Regions from separate parts of the Mus musculus genome. Here region 2 is reported to be linked to region 1. Evidence: microRNA targets listed by miRTarBase, many of them from high-throughput screens and not tested one by one. Region 1 holds a microRNA gene; the other region holds the end of a gene's coding sequence.
The links. The annotated mature microRNA mmu-miR-3076-5p reads CACAGGGGAAGCUCAGUGCCAGCC and lies in region 1 at 3,626-3,649, shown strand. An mRNA with a match to its seed (bases 2 to 7 or 8) in the 3' UTR can be bound and repressed. Matches are read on the target gene's strand: a 7mer-m8 pairs with bases 2 to 8, a 7mer-A1 pairs with bases 2 to 7 and ends in A, and an 8mer does both.

Region 2: miRTarBase lists Rgs9bp as a target of mmu-miR-3076-5p. Seed matches in the 3' UTR shown: 7mer-A1 at 1,729-1,735.

What each region holds. Positions count from the first base shown.
Region 1 is chr14:30,568,525-30,576,490 of GRCm38, forward strand. Mir3076 (microRNA 3076) reads left to right here and starts at 3,625; the gene lies at 3,625-3,684. Tkt (transketolase) reads left to right here. Exons shown (of 14, transcript NM_009388.6): 8 at 451-615; 9 at 1,432-1,588; 10 at 1,679-1,809; 11 at 2,439-2,522; 12 at 2,628-2,721; 13 at 3,684-3,806; 14 at 4,813-6,200. The coding sequence ends at 4,988.
Region 2 is chr7:35,581,815-35,584,814 of GRCm38, reverse strand. It overlaps Rgs9bp (regulator of G-protein signalling 9 binding protein), which reads left to right. Exons shown (of 1, transcript NM_145840.3): 1 at 1-3,000. The coding sequence ends at 308. Among named protein-coding and RNA genes, the nearest start is that of Rgs9bp, 2.3 kb to the left of the region's middle.

The DNA.
Region 1 (7,966 bases):
TGTAGAGGCTCAGAGAGGCCAGGGGACTTACCTAAGGCTGCACAGTAAGCTTCTAGTTGAAATGATTGTAGAGATCAGGACTTTTTCATAGTCTGGCAAAAGCTAGGCAAAGCTGTCTTGATCGAGGTTTTTCATTGCATAAACCCATCCATGCAGCCTACAGCTGAGCCTTCTGGCTCTTGGGCCCTTGTGCTCCTGTGTGTGTGCAGTTCCTGGCCTCGTTTTCTGTTTCTCTCTTTGTGTTGTTGTTTTTCAGTTCCCTGACGCCTTAAGTTCAGCATGCTCTTGCCTTCGCCTCCCTAGTGCTAGAGTTACAAGCGTGCACTACTCCTGGGTTCCCATTTTTCTCATCCTTCGGAAGCTTCAAAACCCCATAGAGTCAGACAAGACTCTAGACCCCATCCTCGCACATGCCTCAGTGGTCCTCAGAGCCTTTGCTCCTGCCCACAGATAGCCACCCGGAAGGCCTATGGACTGGCCCTCGCTAAGCTGGGCCACGCCAGTGACCGTATCATTGCCCTGGATGGAGACACCAAGAATTCCACCTTCTCGGAGCTCTTCAAAAAGGAGCACCCAGACCGGTTCATTGAGTGCTACATTGCCGAGCAAAACATGGTGGGTGCCTGGGTAGGGTGAAGGACACACAGCCACAGCTGCAGGGCTATCCTGACAGGTAGCAGCAGGCGGAAGCCCTCTTTCTCCCTCGGGCAGCCGTATTGACAGTGCTGAGTGACAGCCGTGGGTCAGCTGAAAGAAAACCACAGAGTAACTAGAACCCACATTGACCTTTGACCTTGGGTAGCCAATTTTGGGGATGATTATTCCCAAGGGAGGAGCTTGTATATAGGACAGATAATGGAGGTAAAGGGGACCTGCTGGTCTATAGAGCCTTTAAAAAAAGGGAGGAGGAGGCTCCTATGTAGCCCAGGACACCCTAGATTTCAGTATGTAGCTAAGGCTAGTTTGAATTCCCGATCCTCCTATGCCCCAAGTTGCTGGGATTATAGATTGCAACCATCCTGGTGTCAAAGGAAACTTGTTGATTTTTGGTCTTTTTTTTTTTTTTTTTTTTTTTTTTTGTTTGGTTTTTCCGAGACAGGGTTTCTCTGTATAGCCCTGGCTGTCCTGGAACTCACTTTGTAGACCAGGCTGGCCTCGAACTCAGAAATCCGCGCCTGCCTCTGCCTCCAGAGTGCTGGGATTAAAGGCGTGCGCCACCATGCCCAGGAAACTGAGTTTAAGAGTTTTGAAATAATCATTTCAAGTCAAAGGAGTTTGGGGCTGGGAAACAGATGACAGAGCCACGGGTACCCAGGCAACTCTCGAGGGTTAGCATACTAGGATCGCAGCCTCTTCTGCCTCCCACATGTGGCCTCGGGAGGGTTCTGGGCTCCCTGTTCTTCAGGGCTAATCTGGCCCTCCTGCCCTCAGGTGAGCATTGCCGTGGGCTGTGCCACACGTGACCGGACAGTGCCCTTCTGCAGTACTTTCGCGGCCTTCTTCACACGGGCCTTCGACCAGATTCGCATGGCCGCCATCTCTGAGAGCAACATCAACCTCTGTGGCTCCCACTGTGGTGTGTCCATTGGTGAGTTCAGACCTGTTGCTAAGCACCAGTGCGTGTGGGAGGGCACGCTGGAAGCTGGAGCCAATCATCAGCCTCTTTTCAATACTCCAGGGGAAGACGGGCCCTCTCAGATGGCCCTCGAAGACCTGGCCATGTTCCGGTCAGTCCCCATGTCCACCGTCTTTTACCCAAGCGATGGAGTTGCAACAGAGAAGGCAGTGGAGTTAGCAGCCAACACAAAGGTTAGTCGTGTGGCTGTTCTTTTGGAAGCTAGCTCTTCCACAGAGGCAGAAGAGGAGGCCAGCGCAAGGTAGAGCTGGTCACTTGCTGCCTAGGGAGGCATTTCCTGGCCATGTCCCTCGTGTGTGTATACCTTAAAGAAACAAGACTGAGAAAATCAAAGCATACCATTCGTCATGCATCATGGCAGACACTGCCAGCTGATGGGCACTCTGCCAGCTTGACCACTGGTGTTTGCCTTCCTTGGGTTGAAGGACAGTAACCCGAGTCTCTGGTCCAGGACAATAACTGACTTGCCTCAGACTGGCATACAGAGTTTCCCGTGTCCCACCCGAGAGCCGGGGCCAGCCTTACCGAGGCATTCTGGGGAGTAGCCCCACTGAGAAGCCAAGCCAGTTTACCTTTTAGAAGTTGCTTCCAGTCTGAGATTAGCCAGGCTGTGGGTGCTTCTTCTCCTGTGTTCAGAGGTACCAGCTACAGGGAACCAGCCCCATCTCTTTGCCATAGCGCCAGGACACAATGACTGTGCCCAGGTTATAATTGACTGACTAAATGAGGCTTGTATCTAGGAAGGGTGGCCCTCTAGAAGACCAAGCTGTCGTGTTTCTCAGTTTATCTGTTCCAATCCCAGGGCATTTGCTTCATCCGGACCAGCCGCCCAGAGAATGCCATTATTTATAGCAACAATGAGGATTTCCAGGTCGGCCAAGCCAAGGTCAGTGCCCTTCGTGTATGAGAACCCGAGGGAGCCACCCACCCTGCTGCTGCTTCTACTCTCAGACCCTGCTCTGGCCCCTCACTGTCCCCATGTCACCCGCAGGTGGTCCTGAAGAGCAAGGATGACCAAGTGACAGTGATCGGGGCTGGTGTAACTCTGCATGAGGCCTTGGCTGCTGCAGAGAGTCTAAAGAAAGGTAAGAAGAAAGGGACCAGGGAGGTCACAGGCTGGTCACACAGAATCTCTAGTTAAGTCATGATGACAATAACTGAAGCCACCCTTTGAGCCATTACGCCATGTCCATGCTATGTTCTAGGACTGGTGACTATCCTCACCTATGATCCCTTTGTATCAGATCGGAGGCCATGGAGCCTGCCAGGAAAACTGAAGTCACAGCTCAGCCGGTCACTAGTTAAATGACTTATTCACCGTCTTTGTGTCTCCGATTCCCCACGTGTAAACTGGCACTTAGCCTTTATGACTGTCCCAAGGCCTTAGGTGTGCCTTGGCATTCATACTGTTATTATTACTATAAGTATAATGTTGTTAGCTAGTGATACCGTAGGGACAGAGCGTCAGCCTCGTCCTCTCAGTGAGATCGCCAGACACGTCACATCTCAAGCTTGTGAGCACCAGGAAGCAAAAGGTGGTCCCTTGGTTGGGTGACCTGAGTGGCCTGTGCAATGTGGGGGTGAACAGGACTGAGGCTGTAGCAAGCTGGGCCTGAGAGGTCAAGAAAGCTCCACCCAGACAGGGTGTCTAGGCAGCTGGGTGTGGTGAGGTGGCTTTTATTCTGAGAAAGTCACTCTGGCTACAGCTCTTCTCCCCACTATCCCAAAAACCTTTATGTTAGATCAGATATCTGAAGTCTTCCTTTTATCTTCAAAGGCATAGGAGGATAAGAGCCCCATAGTCTGCTCTAACAGTCGGTCCACAGGGCACCCAGCTGACCACTATCTCTCCCAAACAGGAGAGAATAGGGAGAAGAGCTATTCTCAATGGTGAGAGTAAGTGGACAGACAGCTAGCCACCAAAGAGTAGTTCTTCTTAGGCCCAAGACGCCCCATTCGGGATAAGGGGCCATTGGAGTTCTGTTCTAACACAGGGGAAGCTCAGTGCCAGCCTTTCTCTTAGCCGCACTCTGGTCTTCCCTTGCAGATAAGATCAGCATCCGGGTGCTGGATCCCTTCACTATCAAGCCCCTGGACAGGAAACTCATCCTAGACTCTGCCCGAGCAACCAAAGGCAGGATCCTCACCGTGGAGGACCACTACTACGAAGGTAACTGGGGCTGCACCAGCCTGGCGAGGGAAGGCCAGAGAGAGCAGTAGGGGAGGCAAGAGGTAGACACCACTTTAAGTTCCTCTGAGGACAGTCCGCCTTTGCCACTCACGGCCTGGCAGGGGCTCGGGGAGTAGAGCCAGCCGGCAAATGGGTTAGCTGGATCCCTATACCAAAGCCTAAAGCCTCAGAAGAGGCCAGGTCTCAGCTATACTGATGAAGGCTCTGGGTTTTCTGGCCACAGCTGAACTCCTGGGCCTCGTATCAAGGAGGTAAGATGGCTGGACAGGAACAAACAGGAAAGACAGTACCGAGTGTCTTCTTGAGTCCTCTATAAGTGCATGCCTGTTCTTACAGGAGCCTCTGAGGAGAGACGAGCTGAGACTCTAAGGTCAAATGCACAACTTGTGGGAGTCAAGCTGACCCCCAGCTGTACCATATGTGTGCACACACATACTAGATAAAGAAGTGTTTAAAGTATTAACTCAAGGAGCAGGGAAGACCCGGCAGTCACATAGCCTTCGAAAGCATCTATAGGTCCCCAGTGTCCTCTCCTGGCCTCTGAGGGCGTGGAGCAAGCATGTGGCTCACAGACATGCAGGAAAAACACTCGGTACACGTTTAAAAACAATTTTTTTTTAATTACATAAAGCTAAATGTTGAGGCTAAATCCCAGGACTCAGAAGGTGAAGACAGGTGAATCTCTGAATTCAAGACCACCTTGAGCTACATAGGGAGTTCTAGGCCAGTCAAAGCTACAAACAAATAGATGTAGGGCTCTGATGGTAGAGTCCTTGCCTTGTGTGCATGAAGCCCTAGGTTCAATCCCCAGCACTGTGTAAAATCAGGCAAGTGGCAAAGAAAAAGTGACAAAAAGAAAGTGCACATCTGGACTTAGAATAAATCATGGGAACCCTGGTGGATTAGTGATGTCTGCTCCGGCAAGGGCTGTGTCTTTGTCATCTCTGGCTCAGGACTAAGACCTCTCTGACTTTCCTCTGCACAGGTGGCATAGGAGAGGCAGTGTCTGCTGCCGTAGTGGGTGAACCTGGAGTGACGGTCACTCGCCTGGCTGTCAGCCAAGTACCACGAAGTGGCAAGCCAGCTGAGCTACTGAAGATGTTCGGTATTGACAAGGACGCCATTGTGCAAGCTGTGAAAGGCCTTGTCACCAAGGGCTAGGGAGGGCATGGGATGCTGGGTGGGTGAACTACACATTCCAGGGAGGTTCTGGCAGAGGTGGCGAAGGTGTACTGAGTGGGGAGGTAAATATATGTTTTGAGAAAAAAATTAATCCTCAGACTCTTTTTTTTTTCCTGTGATATAAACATATCCAGTGCCAGTATGAGAAGGAGACTGGGGAGAGAGGGAGAGAGCTGGCTCTCTAGGCTTGGGGTCAGGATCTAGGTGTCCCCTGGATCTAGGTGTCCCCTGGAATCCCCTTCTCCAGTTCAGCCTCTGCAAAGCCACAACTGCTCCCACCAAGTCATAACTGGGGACACTCATTGCAGCCTGCCTTTTAGCCAAACTAGGATCCAGCCCCTTCCTTTGCCAGTGTACCCTAAATGACACCATGGAGTTCCCTCCTGCCTTATAAAACCTTCCTGGGCCCTCCATAGCTGCACCATGGCCCCCAAGGTCCCACAACTCCTCCTTTTATGGGTGGTCACTGCTGTTTCCTAGGAATTCCGCAGTGCCCTTAGGGAGGATGGGGCCCATTTGTTGAGCTATGTGCATGTTTGCCCTTTGTCGACAAACTGCTCAGCTAGCGAGTTGCCTGGCCCGATCCTTCCATGCCAGGGAACTGTATGGTACCAACTCCAGAAACAGCAGAGCAGGTAGGTTGTCTCAGGGAGATGACAGAGACTCCTCAGTGGGTGATCTTAGGGCACACCCTGGGAGGCCTTGAGCTCCGCATGTCAGGAACTCTCCTTCACTGAGAAAAGAAGGCAAGCCATCTCCCTGTCAGGACAATTGAGGAACTTCTCAGCCACGAGTTTTGAGTCTGGACATAACTACAATATGTTATGTAGTTCTGAACAAAAACAGTAAAGCTTGGGTGCTTGGTCACCACCTGGTGGCCATTTATGGTACTACAGTGCTAAGCACACCCCTACAGAGGAATCTGAGGAAGGAGACTAGGGATGGTGTTTTCTGAACTCTGTAAAGCTCACAGCAGGTGGAGGTGACAGTGACATTACTGAACTTTGTATGCATTTTACTTAATCCTTACTACAAGAAACCACTTTAGAAGGCATTCCACTTGGCTGAGTGCTAAGGATTGGTCTATGTATTGCAATGCTAAATTCTGTACCCAAAAGTCTACAGGCTTTTATTGTGCAAACCTTCTTCCTTAATTTAAAACTATTGTTTAAATAAAATGGCTACAGTCAATTACTGGAGGATTAGAGGTAGGTGGGATTGGGAGTTGAGGTGGTGGGGGGAATGGACCTTGAGCACATGGCCAAGAGAAACTGGCAAGTGTCTGGGGCACACGGCTGGGGAGGTAGCCAGGCCAGCAGTTAGGAAAGTAGATTAGGGGTTACCCCCCAGTAATGGTCAAATAAAATAACCATTCATTTATAACCTACACGGAGATGAGCTTAAGTTGGCTTAACTACAGCCCAGTATGCAGAGTAAAGGACTGCACCTCGGGTTTTTGTGGCTACCATTTTTGTCCTTGTGGCCTCCTTAAAGGGGATGCTATGTAGTCAACCATATGTAAAAGTCCTTGTCCTGTAGGACGATGGAAGGTGCCTGCAGCTTAGTGCCCTTTGTGTCAGCAAAACTGCTGTTCTCCCTAGAGGTTATAGGCTCATGAAAAGATGTTTCCAGAAGAAAATGGGACAAGTACTCCCAACCGTAGCACCGGAGAGGGTCTGCTGCACCCACCTGCTGCTGCTTGTCTGTGGGCCCAGGGATGTGCAAGGCTGAGTGAGGGGTGAGGGATAAGAACTAGAAATGCCAGTGCCTGAGCTGGTGCGGTGCTCTGAGGATTTCACAGGTGCCTGGGCCAGGCAGCAGAATTGTACATAGATGGCTTCAAGGAGCCTGTATGAGGTTCCTAACATGGCAAGAGGTAGGGGTCTGGGGAACATGTGACTTCCAGAGCAGAGATGGGGAAGGTGGCTTCTCTCACCTTCAGGCTCTCCACGGCCTGCACTCTCTTGAGGAGATGGTTAAAGCTTAAGCAGGCAGCCAGATAGATGCCTGGGGAGTAAACGGGCAGAGGTGCTCCTGAGGCACAGTCACCTAAACTCACTCAGTCTACAACATCAAACACCTGGCATTTAGGGAGCCAGGAACTCTGAGGAGTAGGTGAAGCTGCTGTGGGTTTGGTTTGGTTTGGTTTGGTTTGGTTTGGTTTGGTTTGGTTTGGTTTGGTCTGGGGTTTTAGTGAGAAGCCTTCTAGAGTGTGCTGGAATCCCAAATGCCTAGGCCTCAGGAACCTGAGGAAGCCTTTACTTCTTCCTCAGCCCTTGGGACGGTGAGAAGACCGCCATGAGCACCTGAGGCTTCCTTGTAGCTCCTGGGCCTGGTCAGGGCCAAGGCTCAAGGCTGCACAAAGGTAGGACTTTCCCTGGGCCAGCGAGAGCCTCCTGTAGCCGGCTGAAGCAAGCAAGGTCTCCTGTCACTCACACCACGTGGGCACTGGGACATGGTAACAGGAAGAAAGTGCCTTGCTCATTTCTCAGTCTTCAGCTGCATAGGTGGCAGGGCTGGGGAGCCTCGCAAACCTTCCAGATCACAACTGTAAAGGAGCAGCTCTCTCCAGTCCTGCCTCCAGTCCTGCCTCCATCCTCCTGCACTGTGGAGGAAGAGTCCTCTCCCCAGCCTCCTGTGCCTCATCCGTTGAATGGGAATAAAGGCAGCTCCCTTGGGCTGCCGGGAGGATGAACTATGATACATTCCACAATACCATCAGTACACTGTCCGGTAAGGGCTCAGAGATGTTGCTTTTCAGAGCAGTTCATTCAGGGCAAGCAAGTAGCCTTTAGCACCAGGTTTCCGGTGACTACAGACATGGGGCTGCCTACAGTTAACAGTGAGTCAGGCCCAGAACTCAGGAAGCTGCCCGGCATACTTAGCTGTTAGACTTTAAGATGACTGTTATTAACATTGCCCTGTCAAGTTTACTGAGATCCATGCTGTACAGTTCA
Region 2 (3,000 bases), not on the chromosome of region 1:
ACGAAGCGGAGAGCGACTTCGATGTCGCCGATCTGCCCCAGTTGGAGCGCGAAGTCCTCCAGGTGGGCGAGATGATTGACGACATGGAAATGAAAGTCAACGTGCCCCGCTGGACTGTACAGGCGCGACAAGCGGCAGGCGCCGAACTCCTGTCCGGTGCCAGTGCCGGCGCGTCCTCAGCCGGTGGCATTTCGGTAGAGGAGCGCGCGGGCCCCTGCGACCCCAGCAAGGCCCTGGCTGCCACCGTTTTCAGCGCCGTGCTGTTGGTGGCTGTGGCCCTCGCCTTATGTGTGGCAAAGCTGAGCTGACTGATATCCAACGGTCGTCCGCTGCCCCTTTTCTTTCCAGGGCATGGGCTTCGGGTTTGAACCGTTAAGGAGAGAGGTAGTGAGCCTGAATGTGTGCATATGAACATGATCCTTTCAAAGCCCACCTCTGCCTGGGCAAAACGTGTTTTGTTTTTTAACATGCTGGCCCAAGAGGAGTTAACAGCACAGGGCGGCCAGGCCATTACCTCTAATGTCTGTAGGAGCTTTACCTCCTATTAATAGAAATCGGTCCACAGTGACCCCAGGTCCCTCTGAGTTTGATGGGTTAAGACGTATGTCCCAAGTTTGGTGCCCTCACGCTGGTTGGTAGCACTCATTCTGTTTTAGACGAGACAATTTTGTTAAGGTGTGGGGTTGTATCAAGCATAGTGGTGGTGGGGGAGGGAGACATTTTGTTCCCTAGACAAGAAACCAGTTGCAGTAAGATGCGCGTGGGTTTTGTTACCTTAATCCTTTGGGGCCTAGGCTTTGGGAGTGTGTACGGATAGAGGCTCGTGCAAAGTGCTTTCTCTGTGATACACTACTGCACTTGGCAGAGCCTGCCTATTAGTCACCAGGAGCTGCAGCTATGAGAGGTTTTTGTGTCGTGACCCCATTTAGGGTCACAGCCAAGAAGGTTGTGGTGTATCCTCTGCACACTTGCTTCAAGAGAAGACCGCTCCATACTCATCCCCGGATGGGGGAGGGACAGGATGGTGCTGCTTTGGGAAGGGCCACACGGCTATGTAAACAGGCACGTTCTCCTTCTCACCGGCTTACTTTATCCCAGAATTAGACCACAGTGTTTGACCCTCCTTTGAGGGAGGGCTGGGGAATCCTCTTTGAAGCTCTTAATCCTATCTATCCCTGGAATTTACTCGATAGCCAATAGGAACGCTAGTTTTCTAGAGAGCTGCCCAACTGTCTGACCCCATGTTACAGGGAAGGGCGATGCTGGTATCACTAGTAACCAGGGGTTGTGAGCCTGGCAGCTGAGTTCAAAATGTAACAGCTTTAATTTGGAATTTAAAGAGCTTTAAACACTCGCATGCGTACACACACACACACACACACACACACACACACACTATCTGAAAGAATGTAAGCACGTTAGTACCAAAGTTGGGTTGCATGTTTGTTTTTGTATAAAGGAAACTGGGCCACAAGCTCATAGATGCCAAGTGAGTCAAGCTTAGAGAACTTTTACATTGTATATGTAGTCTGCTAAATATGAATCTGCATCTGCTTTTTTCTAAAACCCTGGGGACCAGCGAGATGGCTTAAGAGGTAGAAGTATGTACTGTATCGGGACATAGTAGTGCACACTTTTAATCCTTGGAGGTAAAGGCAGGAGGATCTCTGAGTTGGAGGGCAGCCTGGTCTGCATAATATCCGGGACAGCCAGGGCTACACAGAGAGACCCTGTAACACACACACACACACACACACACACACACACACACACACACCACACGTAGGTATTGCACTTGCAGAACATGCAAGTTCTGTTCACAGTATTCATCCACCCACTGCCAGCCAGCAGTTCGCAACTGCCTGTAACTCCAGCTCTAGGAGAGGTCTAGCCCCCTCTTCTGGACACCTCAGGTATTTGTCCCCATGGAGGCACACTATTCACACATGCACATAACCAAAACGGAAACTTTTACATCTATATTCCTGAATAGAGACTGAATTTTAAGATCATAGCTCAAACTGCCAGAACCCTCCACATAAAAGGCAGAAATGGCCCCTGCTTTCCACCGGTAAAGGATGAGATGTGAGAAATGCTCTCTGCCTTCCTGGAGGGGCTTGGGGAAGTGGTACTGAGAAAGCAGATGCATTTAACTTTCAAATGGTTGGTGGGACAAAAGCAAAGATCTGCTTGGCTAGAAATGGGATTTCCTTTTAACCTCTGAAAGTGAGAAAGAGGGGGTGTTACCGCCACTCTTTGCACTCCTTAGCCATTCTTTGGATATTTAATGAGCTGGGTCATTAGATGTCCACCTGTGATGGTTCTTAGATGACTGCAATTCATTGCAATGTTGCAAAAGGTTGACTTAAACTAAACATTCCTCTAGTAGACCTGTGAACCCAGGAAACTCACTGAGATTGAAAATGTTAAACATGAGGTGAAGTCCTTGGTGTTATGATGCTGTCTAAGAAAGCTGCTATAGGACATAGGCAAAGTCACCTCTTGCCTTGTAAAACTGGCTATCTTCTAACTAATATGTCTTCTTGTGTTTGTGAGCTAGCTTGCTGATAGAATCCTGGTTCTATTCATACTTGGATGTTGAGGTAATTCATCTTCTATAGACATTTGGTATGATCTCATACTTGGTATAATTGACAAGAAAAAAAAACCAAAATACATCAGTTAGGCTGGGTTCTGTGCAGGCCTGATACTTCACAATGATACAGGAAGATCACACGTTCAAAATTAGGTTGGTCTGGAGTGTGACTTCAAGGCCATCCTGGGCAACTTAGACTCTATCTCAAAATAAAAGATGAAAAGAGGACTGGGGTTATAGCCTAATGGCGGGGTACTTGCTTAGCGTGCTTGAAGGTTCAGATTCAATCATTATACCCCCCAAAATGTATTAACCAATATTAAGAAGGCAGAACCTCGGGGTGTCAAGGCACCTATCAAGGGAGTGAGCTATGAGTCAGCAGTGAACTGCTAATGACTACAGTA